2 linked regions of the Saccharomyces cerevisiae S288C genome follow. The protein of the gene in region 1 interacts with the protein of each later gene in a biochemical or structural test. Each region holds a gene or a part of one and is shown in the gene's direction. Other genes may lie near its edges.

The links.
Region 2: the proteins of IFH1 (region 1) and TAF4 form a complex in vitro, tested with the Saccharomyces cerevisiae proteins (one study listed by BioGRID).

Annotation. Positions count from the first base shown.
Region 1 is NC_001144.5:580,071-589,660, reverse strand, and holds IFH1 (Ifh1p), read left to right. Parts: upstream 1-4,170; coding exon 4,171-7,428; downstream 7,429-9,590. Other genes in the region: BUR2 (Bur2p), read right to left, coding at 1-307; YLR225C (uncharacterized protein), read left to right, coding at 743-1,966; UCC1 (Ucc1p), read right to left, coding at 2,088-3,197; U3 snoRNA-associated protein UTP13, read left to right, coding at 7,890-9,590. UniProt on the Saccharomyces cerevisiae protein: Transcriptional coactivator that together with FHL1 regulates the expression of rRNA and ribosomal protein genes. Its activity is negatively regulated by environmental stress.
Region 2 is NC_001145.3:273,163-277,711, forward strand, and holds TAF4 (Taf4p), read left to right. Parts: upstream 1-2,882; coding exon 2,883-4,049; downstream 4,050-4,549. Other genes in the region: AIM34 (Aim34p), read left to right, coding at 1-552; MVP1 (Mvp1p), read left to right, coding at 855-2,390; PLB2 (lysophospholipase), read right to left, coding at 4,399-4,549. UniProt on the Saccharomyces cerevisiae protein: Functions as a component of the DNA-binding general transcription factor complex TFIID. Binding of TFIID to a promoter (with or without TATA element) is the initial step in pre-initiation complex (PIC) formation.

The DNA of each region.
Region 1 (9,590 bases):
AAAATAGAATGCATGATGCCGTATAGGTGTGATCAAAAAGATTTAATTTTTTTTTAAGTGTGTAAAAGTACATTAAGCATTTTTCCATATTTTTTTTTATTTCCACTGCTATCGGTCCATTAGTGCCTATCTTTTCAATAATATCTTTGCACTCAAAAACCCACTGGTTTTCTGGTGTTTCTATCAAATCCGGCCATAGGGTCCTTGCGTTAAACCCACTCGATGCTGGTGGTGGTGATGCATTGCTCGTTGGTTTTGGTACAGCTTGAAATTTTTTCACGTCACCACTTGAAGATGTAGCAGACATTATCTTACTGTAATATATTTTAAACGAAAATACTACGGCCTCCTTCAATATGTGTATATAATTACCAATCAAAATAGCTACTTGCTTTCTAACAGAAATAGTGATACTTTTTAATCACTTTTCTTTTTTTACTGAACAGTGAAAAATAGAAGTCACAATGAGACCTAGGTCAAAAAGCCATAATGAATAGGGTTTGCAATAAAAAAGCTTTAAACGATAGGTCTGTTAAAGAGGATAAATAGGTTTATCATGTATCATTTGGTTTTTTGGGATAGGGCTTGGCAAAAACCATAACAGGGGAATGAGATTTTATATATAAATAGACAAGATAGATACTAAAATAGTGACGGATTCTCTCTAAATATTCGAGAAATTTTCAAAATTTTAGGGCAACGAACAGTTTAATTAACATAAAAATCATAGAGCAAAGAAAAAATGGCGGTTGCGATCAAAAAGGAGAAGACGAAATTTGCCCCCGTTAAGGAAGTTTTATCCGAGAAGGATCATGCTAATTATACTAAATTTCAGGATACATCGAAACTAGAATGGTTTTGCAGGACGTCAAATCACAAAAAGTTCAAGTCACATAGTTTATTAAAAGCAGTAAGAAATCCAACGGAAACAAGAATAGAGACACAAACTCTGTATTTTACGGATCTCACCAACGGCAAATGTGGATTAATTCAACTATTATATTCCAGTGTTATGGGCGGTATATACAAAGGTTTTCAGTTAAATTTCAAAATATTTAAAGCCAGCAGTGAGGAAAACTCTGAAGAAGACATTGATATATGGGAAAGCTTTAAAATTGATAATATCAAAGATTTTGATACGTTAAAAGTTGAATCGGACAATGTTACGTTTCACTTCGTACCTTTGGAAAATTCTTCCTCCAGTGGATTTGCTCAATTATTAATTAAGATAGATATTCCGAAGGGAAGTACAAGCTGTTTACTAAAAGATTTGAAGGTTGACATTACCGTAAATTTACAAGAAGGATTCATAATAAACCCGGACGGTTCCAATTATTACCTTGACAAGAGCATCAGCTTGGAAGAGTTAGCAAAAAGAGACTCTTCTAGTACGTCCAGAAAAATGATAAGACATGTTTTTGTTCCTAGAGGTTTTTGCAATGGTACCATCTCATACAAGAAAAACGATAAACCTGTGAAGCTGGACTTGAAGGACACGCCTATGTTGTATCTGGATGCTGTCCAGGGGCTAATACCCAATAAGGCGGCTAGTAAATGGAATTTTCTTTGTTTCAATGGTGAGAAGCGTTCGATGATGTGTATTGAATTCACCACAACAAAAGAATATGGCAGCACTACAGTGACTATATGGGCGGTTAGTGATAAGGACAAAATTTTGGAGGTCGGGTCAAGTGTAAATGATCATGCTGTTAAATTTCCATCTACAAAAGAGGATAAGCAAAATGGTTGGAAATATCCTACATCCATTTCATTTCCGCGTGGTTTTGAAGAATCTAATTTAAGATTAGTCAATAGGTACGATATAATGAGTGAGCTGCCCGCTTTCATTAGGTCTATTGCTGAAAATCTGGCAAACATGAAGCCATTCATTTACCAATTCTGCCAGAAGTCTAAATTCGATGACGATGAAGGAGTTTCCATCATTGAAAGTACATTTATCAATTGAAAAAAATGAAATTTGACTATACATATTTTCATCATTGCAAGAATATTATATCCATTTATAAGTAGGTAGGTGCATAGACGTATATACACATATATTATAGACTAATTGATAAATTTTTTTTTCATCTTCGAAGATAAGGGGTATTCCAGTTGGGCAATGCTATTTCTTGACCAAGATCTTGCTTTTGTTCCGGATGCTTGTAGACGAAAATTCTTATCAATTTGGATGGCTTGTAAGGTAAACCGTGCCCAATTATCGTGTCTCTAGGAAATGAAATTTTCTCTTCAGATTGTAAGCAGGCCAAACTCCATGCAAACTGGTATGAAAAAGAACATTCACTATAGTTGAAGATTGCTTCAATGCTATTTACGGGTTCGATTCTAAAGAGTAACCACGGCTTCGATATCTGATATGGAATAAAGTCATAACCGAGTAGAACTAAATCACCATTGATACAAACATCTGAATCTGTCCTGTCGATAGCTTTCAGTTCCAGGGGAAGATGTGTCGTTCCAGTGCCTTCAAAAATTTGCTCATCGTATAGCCTGGGAAGGTGGCCTAGGTTAACACAGTATATTCCTTCAGATGTTATCAATTCGTTGATATATCCTGCACTTGCCACGATCTGCTTCGGCCCATAGTTGCATATGCCTATTTCCGTAATAATTTTCGGTATGTATCTGGCAACGTGCGCATTTTTTACATAAAACCAAACGTTTACCGGTGTAGGCTCGTCCTTCCTCCTGGACCAAAAGTTAACAGGTAAAGCTGTCAACGACTGCATAAGAGTTCTTTCCTTGGGCCGACTATTAAAGTTACTGGTAGAATCAGAACCATTTGAATCTTGACTTTTGGTATATTTGTCCCATCCCATATTAATTATCTTTCCAGGATATTGCAGCGCATTGTATACAATATACCAAGAATCTGCGATGTATTTAGTCATGCACAGTGGCACATTAAAACCTGGTTCCTTCGTTTCTTGAATGATTTCTCTGGCATGCTGTCGAAGTGGGTCCAAACTCTTGACATATAAACATAATGAATGTTTGACAACGGCCCATATATAGTTGTCCTCAGCTATCCACGCCAAACTCTTCTCCTTATAGCTGTGGTTATGCAAAACGTAGAAGTATTTATTGACAGCACGAAGTTCATTAGGCACGTACTCTAGTAATGATAAATGTATCTCCAGTGGTAAATCCATCAAGCTGCTATCGCTCTGATTCATCTCTTGTTTGCACACTCTGTCTTCTTTGCGCCAATAGGCATAGTACAAACAAAAAAACGAGCCAAGCAAACAGCGGAAACTCTATTAAAGGTTATGCTACCTTCCGATAGTGATAATATTATGAGAAACTCCAATGTAGATCTACTTGTCTGAGATGGCCTTTGATAAAAAAATCAATCGAGTACGCAATAGAGGGGCAGAGACTTTGAAGAGCAAAAAAAAGAAAAAGGAAATTTTCAGTTATTGTTCCGATTTTTCCGTGTGGGGTTCGGGATGCCTAGTTGTTCCGTAATGCGATTGAAAGATACACTTAACTAGGAGGCTGCTAGTACGCGACCCCTACCTACGTATTGCAAAGATGTTTGAAGTATCAACGGGTGTAGAACTTTGCAATCAAGCAAAAGCTAGATAGTTCCATTATGAATTGTGACGATGTTACCCGTACTGCCTACTACATCTCTTTATACGGATTGAAATCTCTAAAGGTTGCCCTGCCCGTCGTTTCTTTTTCGTTGGAATTCTTTTTTTTTTTTTTTTTTTTTTCATCTCATCACTAAATTGATTTAAAGTACAACTAGGGAAAAGAGACTAGATAATAGGTGCTTTACACGTTTTGACGTTTAGCTTTTACGGCTCTTTAATTGACTTGCTGTAAGTATTTGTATAATCATTGGTAATATTTGAATACATTCGAAACACTTGCTACAAGAAATTAAAAGGAGGAACTCTTCAAAAGGCTATATTTAATTACTGCTTATTTATTACATTCCTCCCTTTCCACAATTCTAACATAGGACAAACCTATAATATTTTTTTTAACTTCGGTGAGCATCATAAGCAATAACCATTTCAAACATAGTAATATTCATTCTACGAAATTCATTTTCAAGCTTGTTGAAATTGAAGGAAATTCAACAAGGAAGCAAATAAACAAATAAGGAAAAAACAACCGGCAAACTGGAAACAGAACGAAATGGCAGGCAAAAAAAGTCCTCGAAAAAGTACGATCAATCATAGTACACATTCTGGTAAACTGCCAGCAAATATTAAAAGGCTCATAAAAAAGGGCGAATCCGATACAAAGTCCAGGCAATCACCACCCACACTGAGTACAACGAGGCCAAGAAGATTTAGCCTTATATACTCTTCTGAGTCATCCTTGAGTGACGTATCTGATTCTGATAAAAACAAAAGTACAAACCCACATAAAATTAAAAGAAAAGCAAAGAACATTTCAAATAATTCCCAAGGAAAAAAAAGTAAACTTATACAAAGGCAAATAGACAATGACGACGAGGGCACAGAGTCATCCGATTACCAAGCTGTAACAGATGGCGAAGAGAGTGAAAATGAAGAAGAAGAGAGTGAAGAAGAAGAAGAAGATGATGACGAAGACGACGACGACGATGATGATGACGGAAGTGATAGTGATAGTGATAGCGAAACAAGTTCTGATGACGAGAATATAGATTTTGTCAAACTGACGGCCCAAAGAAAGAAAAGAGCCATGAAAGCTTTATCTGCCATGAATACAAATAGCAATACACTCTATTCCTCTCGTGAGAACAGTAACAAAAATAAATCAGTTAAACTATCCCCTAAGAAAGAAAATGAAGAAGAGCAGAAAGAAGAAAAAGAAAAAGAGAAAGAAGAGCAACAAAAACAACAAGAATCAAACAAAAAAGAAGTAAACGGTTCAGGCACTACTACTACACAACAGGCGCTATCGTTTAAATTCAAAAAAGAGGACGACGGCATTAGTTTTGGTAATGGTAATGAAGGCTATAACGAGGATATAGGTGAAGAAGTCTTGGATTTAAAAAACAAAGAGAACAATGGTAATGAAGAAGATAAACTGGATTCTAAGGTGATGTTAGGTAACAACGATGAGTTACGATTTCCCAATATTTCAGAGTCAGATGAATCTGAATATGATATTGACCAGGATGCGTACTTTGACGTGATTAACAATGAAGATTCTCATGGAGAAATTGGTACAGATCTTGAAACGGGGGAAGACGATCTTCCCATATTGGAAGAAGAAGAACAAAACATTGTTTCTGAGCTACAAAATGACGACGAACTCTCATTCGATGGTAGTATACACGAAGAAGGGTCTGATCCTGTAGAAGATGCTGAAAATAAATTTTTGCAAAATGAATACAATCAAGAAAACGGATATGATGAAGAAGATGACGAAGAAGATGAAATAATGTCTGATTTTGATATGCCGTTTTATGAAGATCCTAAATTTGCAAATCTTTATTATTATGGCGATGGTTCAGAGCCAAAGCTATCCTTGAGTACATCTTTACCGTTAATGCTAAATGATGAAAAACTATCTAAACTAAAAAAGAAAGAGGCCAAAAAACGGGAACAGGAAGAAAGGAAACAAAGACGAAAGCTCTATAAAAAGACGCAAAAACCTAGTACGAGAACAACCTCCAATGTGGACAATGATGAGTATATTTTCAATGTTTTTTTTCAATCAGATGATGAAAATAGTGGCCATAAGAGCAAGAAAGGCAGGCATAAATCGGGCAAAAGTCATATTGAACATAAGAATAAAGGCTCGAATTTGATAAAATCCAATGATGATCTGGAACCATCCACTCATAGTACGGTCCTGAATTCCGGGAAATATGATTCTTCTGACGATGAATATGATAACATTTTGTTGGATGTTGCCCATATGCCTTCAGATGATGAATGCAGTGAATCTGAAACGTCCCACGATGCTGACACGGATGAAGAATTGAGGGCACTAGATTCAGATAGCTTAGACATTGGCACAGAACTGGACGACGATTACGAAGACGACGACGATGATTCCAGCGTGACAAATGTGTTCATAGACATCGATGATTTAGATCCAGACTCTTTTTACTTTCATTACGACAGCGATGGATCTTCCTCTTTGATAAGTTCTAACTCAGACAAAGAAAATTCTGATGGATCCAAAGATTGCAAACATGATCTCTTAGAGACTGTTGTGTACGTTGATGACGAATCCACAGATGAAGATGATAACCTACCGCCCCCAAGTTCAAGGTCAAAAAACATTGGCTCAAAAGCAAAGGAAATCGTAAGTTCAAATGTTGTTGGATTACGTCCACCAAAATTGGGTACTTGGGAGACGGACAACAAACCTTTTAGTATTATTGATGGTCTGTCTACTAAATCATTATACGCCTTAATCCAAGAACATCAACAGCTTCGCGAGCAACATCAAAGGGCTCAAACCCCAGATGTTAAAAGAGAGGGAAGCTCTAATGGCAATAACGGTGACGAATTGACACTCAATGAGCTGCTAAACATGAGTGAATTGGAGGATGATTCACCATCCCACACAGACGATATGGAGAACAATTACAATGATGCAATTAATAGCAAAAGCACAAATGGCCATGCTGCAGATTGGTATGAAGTTCCTAAGGTTCCATTATCTGCATTTAGAAATAAGGGTATTAATGCCTATGAAGAAGATGAGTACATGATACCAGCAAATTCTAACAGAAAAGTTCCCATTGGCTATATTGGTAATGAAAGAACAAGAAAGAAGATTGATAAGATGAAAGAGCTACAACGGAAAAAAACTGAAAAAAAAAGGCAGTTAAAGAAAAAAAAGAAGCTTCTTAAAATAAGAAAGCAAAGACAAAAGGCAATAAAGGAGCAAGAAACTATGAATTTACAATTGGGAATCAATGGCCATGAGATCATCGGTAACAATAACAGCCATAGCGACATAAATACCGGTACCGATTTTACAACCAATGAAAATACCCCTATGAATGAACTTCCCTCTCACGCACCTGAAGATGCGTCATTAATACCTCATAATTCTGATCTTGCCGTGGACAGCAATACAAGGAAAAATTCAACAAAAAGTGTTGGTTTAGATGAAATTCATGAGATTTTGGGCAAAGATGAAAATGACTTACTGTCTGTAGGTGATATTAACGGTTATGATGCACAAGAAGGTCATGTGATCGAAGATACTGACGCCGATATCCTAGCATCGTTAACCGCTCCTGTGCAATTCGACAATACATTAAGCCATGAAAATAGTAATTCCATGTGGAGAAGAAGGCAAAGTATGGTGGAAGCAGCGGCTGAAAATCTTCGTTTCACTAAAAATGGTTTATTTAGTGAGAGTGCATTGGCAGATATCGAAGGAATTATGGGCAATGATGTTAACCATTCATTCGAATTCAATGACGTCTTACAATGAGCTATTTTGCATTTTTTTATGGTTACTACAATCAAATCACCTTTCGTTTACAATATCATCATCAGTATGTGACTTTGCCTTATTCTACTCTGAATTTTGCTTTATCGTTGGTTGAAAAGAATTACATGTTATTTTTTTACTTATATATGCATATTTTTATAGAAAAACACAATCAATATTTTTTTTACTGGTATAATCCGTCCAATCAGACGTATAAAAGTAAATAAGCCTCAAGCAACCCCATTTGATGGATTGCCTTACTCTTCGACTCTAGTTGAGATGATAACCTCATCCACTCTTCTGGCGATTAAGATGGAGCTTCTTAATATATCCGTGTAAAGCGACTGAAAATTTTCTGAAAAATTCAGCTCATCGCTCTCAGATATAATAGCGGTATGGCATTAAAGGTGTGAACCAACAACATAGTACTCTCAACGGTAGTAAGCCATACTACGTACAATATGGATCTGAAAACCTCATATAAAGGTATATCGTTAAACCCTATTTATGCAGGAAGCAGTGCTGTTGCCACTGTTTCAGAAAATGGTAAAATACTAGCTACTCCGGTGCTTGACGAAATCAACATAATCGATTTAACCCCAGGCTCCAGAAAAATTTTGCACAAGATTTCTAATGAAGACGAGCAAGAAATTACTGCACTGAAATTAACTCCTGATGGTCAATATCTCACGTATGTTTCACAAGCTCAGCTTTTAAAAATCTTTCACCTTAAGACCGGGAAAGTTGTCAGATCAATGAAAATCTCTTCTCCATCGTACATTCTCGACGCAGATTCCACTTCAACGCTTCTCGCAGTCGGAGGGACAGATGGTAGTATAATTGTTGTGGATATTGAAAATGGTTACATTACTCATTCGTTCAAAGGTCATGGTGGTACAATTTCCAGTTTGAAGTTTTATGGACAATTGAATAGTAAAATATGGTTATTAGCATCCGGTGACACCAATGGTATGGTAAAGGTTTGGGATCTTGTTAAAAGGAAGTGCTTGCACACATTACAAGAGCACACATCTGCTGTGAGAGGGTTGGATATCATTGAGGTACCAGATAATGATGAGCCAAGCCTAAATTTACTTTCCGGTGGTAGAGACGATATCATCAATCTCTGGGATTTCAATATGAAAAAGAAATGTAAATTGTTGAAAACACTTCCAGTAAATCAACAGGTAGAGTCATGCGGATTCCTAAAGGATGGTGACGGTAAACGCATAATTTATACAGCCGGCGGTGATGCTATCTTTCAGTTAATTGACTCTGAATCTGGTAGCGTGCTTAAAAGAACCAATAAACCTATAGAAGAGTTATTCATTATTGGTGTACTTCCAATATTGAGCAATTCACAGATGTTTTTAGTATTGTCTGACCAGACATTACAACTAATTAACGTTGAAGAAGACTTAAAGAATGATGAAGACACAATACAGGTCACTTCGAGCATTGCTGGTAATCATGGTATTATTGCTGACATGAGGTATGTTGGCCCAGAGCTGAATAAATTAGCTTTAGCTACCAATTCTCCATCGCTTAGGATAATACCCGTCCCCGATTTATCAGGCCCAGAAGCTTCGCTGCCTTTGGATGTCGAAATTTATGAAGGTCATGAAGATTTGCTAAATTCATTGGATGCTACTGAGGATGGCCTGTGGATCGCAACCGCCTCTAAAGATAATACGGCTATTGTTTGGAGATACAATGAGAACAGCTGCAAGTTTGATATTTATGCCAAGTATATTGGTCATTCAGCTGCCGTAACTGCTGTTGGATTGCCAAATATAGTTTCAAAGGGATATCCTGAATTTTTATTGACAGCATCGAATGATTTAACAATTAAGAAATGGATAATTCCAAAGCCAACTGCTAGTATGGATGTTCAAATCATCAAGGTATCCGAATATACTCGTCATGCCCATGAAAAGGATATCAATGCTTTGTCAGTTTCTCCTAACGATTCTATTTTTGCAACAGCATCATACGACAAGACCTGTAAGATCTGGAACCTAGAAAATGGTGAATTGGAAGCCACGTTGGCCAACCACAAGCGTGGACTATGGGATGTATCATTTTGCCAATATGATAAATTATTGGCAACTTCTTCAGGTGATAAAACAGTCAAGATATGGTCATTGGATACATTCAGCGTT
Region 2 (4,549 bases), on another chromosome or scaffold:
GGCATACGGGCGGCTGAGCCAGGGAGATCTCTATATTTACCGTTTACCTTACTATTGAAACAGCCCGGTGCTTACAAGGTGAGCCTACACAGATATGTACATAGCACCCAAACGAAGAGCCACTTGAGCTTTTTAATGAATAATAACGATATAACACCTTTTCAAAAATTTACAGTTAAAGTTCTCAAAGAGCAGTGCAAATCAAGAGGGTTAAAATTATCAGGTCGCAAATCAGATTTGCTACAAAGACTTATCACGCACGATTCATGTTCAAATAAAAAAAGTAGTGTGAAGATAAATGAACCCAAAAAAAAGAGGATATTAATAAATGATCCAATCAAAATCACGAAGAAATTGGTTAGTGATAAAACTTTTAGAACTATTGAAAAAAATATTTCTTCACTGCAGAACACACCTGTTATCGAAACTCCCTGCGACGTTCATTCACACTTGCAACCAAGGGATAGAATATTCTTATTAGGATTTTTCATGTTATCGTGTCTTTGGTGGAACCTCGAACCTCAGGAATCTAAACCTACCATTGACCATTAGAAATATAATTCTAGCACTGTAATTAATTGAACTGTATATTCTTTCATAATTTATTAAGACACTTTTACTTTTCTCTACGCTCTCAATAAGTTATTGTTGATCCAGATCATCTCGATATTGCCGTCATTTTCGGTTAAGGTAGGCGCTTTTACGAAACACATGCCAGAAAAAAAAGTGAGGAAGGAAGGTACAATGAAAACAGGGTGAACGCCACTTCTTTTCACCCAAGTTGTAAGAGAAATAATAGTAAAAGCAATCGAATTTGGATTCTATAAAACACCACTGAGGCGAAAAAAAAAGTAATGGACAATTACGAAGGCAGTGATCCTTGGAATACCAGTTCTAATGCATGGACTAAGGATGATGATCACGTCGTTTCTACCACCAATAGTGAACCCAGCCTCAACGGAATCTCTGGTGAGTTTAACACCTTGAACTTTTCAACACCTCTGGACACAAATGAGGAGGATACTGGTTTTTTACCGACCAACGATGTGCTTGAAGAAAGTATCTGGGATGATAGTAGAAATCCTCTTGGTGCAACTGGCATGAGCCAAACTCCCAATATAGCGGCCAATGAGACAGTTATAGATAAGAATGATGCTAGAGATCAGAATATAGAAGAATCTGAAGCCGACTTACTTGATTGGACTAACAACGTTAGAAAAACATACAGACCTCTAGATGCCGACATCATCATCATTGAAGAGATACCTGAAAGAGAGGGTTTACTTTTCAAGCACGCAAACTATTTAGTGAAACATCTCATTGCTCTTCCAAGTACCTCGCCTTCTGAAGAACGTACTGTCGTAAGAAGATACTCTGATTTCTTATGGTTAAGAGAAATTCTGCTGAAAAGATACCCTTTTAGAATGATCCCTGAGCTACCTCCCAAAAGAATTGGATCCCAAAACGCAGACCAGCTTTTTTTGAAGAAAAGAAGAATAGGGTTATCTAGATTCATTAATTTGGTAATGAAACACCCTAAATTAAGTAATGATGATTTAGTGTTAACATTTTTAACCGTACGCACTGACTTAACAAGTTGGAGAAAGCAAGCAACCTATGACACTTCAAACGAATTCGCTGATAAAAAGATATCACAAGAATTTATGAAAATGTGGAAAAAAGAGTTTGCAGAACAATGGAACCAGGCTGCATCTTGTATCGATACCTCGATGGAATTATGGTATAGAATCACGCTTCTCTTGGAAAGGCATGAAAAAAGAATTATGCAAATGGTACACGAAAGAAATTTTTTTGAGACACTAGTGGATAACTTTAGCGAAGTGACTCCAAAACTATATCCGGTACAACAAAATGATACCATATTGGACATTAATAACAATTTGAGTATAATTAAAAAACACCTAGAAACTACGAGTAGTATCTGCAAACAAGAAACAGAAGAAATATCGGGAACGTTATCGCCAAAATTCAAAATTTTCACGGACATCTTACTTTCTTTGAGAAGTTTATTTGAGAGATACAAAATTATGGCTGCAAATAACGTAGTTGAATTGCAAAGACATGTCGAATTGAACAAAGAGAAATTGGAATCGATGAAAGGAAAACCAGATGTCAGTGGAGCAGAGTACGACAGGATAAAAAAAATCATACAGAAGGATAGAAGAAGCATAATAGAGCAATCAAACAGAGCTTGGTTGATAAGACAATGTATTTTGGAAGAGTTTACAATCTTTCAGGAAACCCAATTTTTAATAACACGTGCCTTCCAGGATTGGGCAAAATTGAACTCCAACCATGCCGGTCTCAAACTGAATGAGTGGGAAAAGCTCGTCACAAGCATCATGGATATGCCGATTTCTCGTGAATAAATTTTACGGAGTGAAGACTAACCACTTAGTCTGCCAAAACATTATTGAAGGATATCCAACAGATGTAATTGACGTACTAAACAGAGAAATAATTAGGTAAATAGAGTAAAGATATGTACCACTATAAATTGTTATTTATTTGTTTTTCAATTTTAAATACAGTGTATGAAGCCTAATTCGGATATTATAGGTTCCCATATTTATTAGAAGGTAACAAATCTTTCGATAATTTGGATTAGATAGCCTTATAATATGCCGGACAAACGACGCCCGCTAAAAATGTGTATTCTCCAGTATTCAATATTCGTCATAAATGATCTTAATTTGAAAAAGTGAATGAACTGAACATCGATAAGTCGAATGTGGTCCGTGTAATAGCTCAAATGGGAAAGTTTTTCTAATCAGCATTCTGTATAACCTCACCTGCACGTAATCTAAAGTGCTTTTATCGATTGGTAGTGCACATATTGTCTTTCGGCATCATATCACATAATGGCAAATTCGCCGAAAAAGCCATCTGATGGCACTGGAGTATCAGCGTCAGACACGCCTAAATATCAACATACCGTCCCAGAAACGAAACCAGCATTTAATTTGTCACCAGGTAAAGCTAGTGAGCTATCACATAGCCTTCCGTCGCCTAGCCAGATAAAATCAACCGCACATGTATCTTCAACTCACAATGATGCGGCAGGTAATACGGATGATTCTGTTCTTCCTAAAAATGTATCACCCACAACTAATTTGAGAGTTGAAAGTAATGGAGATACAAACAATATGTTCTCTAGCCCTGCTGGACTAGCTCTACCAAAAAAGGATGATAAAAAAAAAAACAAGGGTACGAGTAAAGCAGATTCTAAAGATGGCAAAGCATCCAACTCCTCAGGACAGAATGCACAACAACAATCAGACCCAAATAAAATGCAAGATGTCCTTTTTTCCGCAGGTATCGATGTTAGGGAGGAGGAGGCTCTTCTAAATTCATCTATTAATGCCTCAAAATCCCAAGTTCAAACAAATAACGTTAAGATCCCCAACCATTTACCATTCCTTCACCCGGAACAAGTTTCCAATTATATGAGGAAAGTCGGAAAAGAGCAAAACTTCAACCTGACCCCTACAAAGAATCCTGAAATTTTGGACATGATGTCAAGTGCCTGCGAAAACTATATGAGAGATATCCTAACAAATGCCATTGTCATCTCCCGACATAGAAGAAAAGCAGTCAAGATAAATTCTGGTAGAAGAAGTGAAGTTTCTGCGGCTTTAAGAGCCATTGCACTAATTCAAAAAAAAGAAGAAGAAAGGCGTGTGAAAAAAAGAATTGCGTTGGGACTCGAGAAGGAAGATTATGAAAATAAGATTGATTCCGAAGAGACGTTACACAGAGCATCGAACGTTACGGCTGGCCTTAGAGCAGGTAGTAAAAAACAGTATGGTTGGCTAACTTCATCAGTAAATAAGCCGACGTCCTTGGGAGCAAAATCTTCAGGCAAAGTCGCCTCCGACATCACGGCTAGAGGAGAAAGTGGGCTAAAGTTTAGAGAAGCTAGAGAGGAGCCTGGTATAGTAATGAGGGATTTACTCTTTGCTCTCGAAAATAGGCGCAACAGCGTTCAGACTATTATTTCAAAGGGTTATGCCAAGATCAGAGATTAATTGCTCATCTCTTATACTGTCTATAATATTTAAAGGTATAGTGTTTCAAATAAACTAGGATATAAAAAAAACAAGATTGACTAACATAAAGAAGGCCGGTTGGTGTCGCTTAGTCAAGTCATCGCCAAGCTATTGAGGACCATTCAACCTTTTTGCTTTGTTCATTTTAACTTTATAATAAGGAAGATATATCAATCCTTGAAGTTAGGCATCCTTCTACCAAAAATAGCGGAAAGAGGAGTGATAATCGGGAAAAAAATTTTCATATTAATACACATTTTTATACATTTACTTGTCATTATCCTTTTGGGTGAAAGGATGTATTATGTATTGTTTCTCAGAAGGGCTTCTAAATTAGTCCAAATAATGCTGTTATGGCACCTAACAAACTCATTAGAGTATTAGTGTTCGCATAGGAAATAGCCGCAGCATTCGCTTTGTTTGCCGTAGAGGAAGAAGAACGAGCTGTAGAGGAAGAAATTGAAGAGGATGAAGAATTT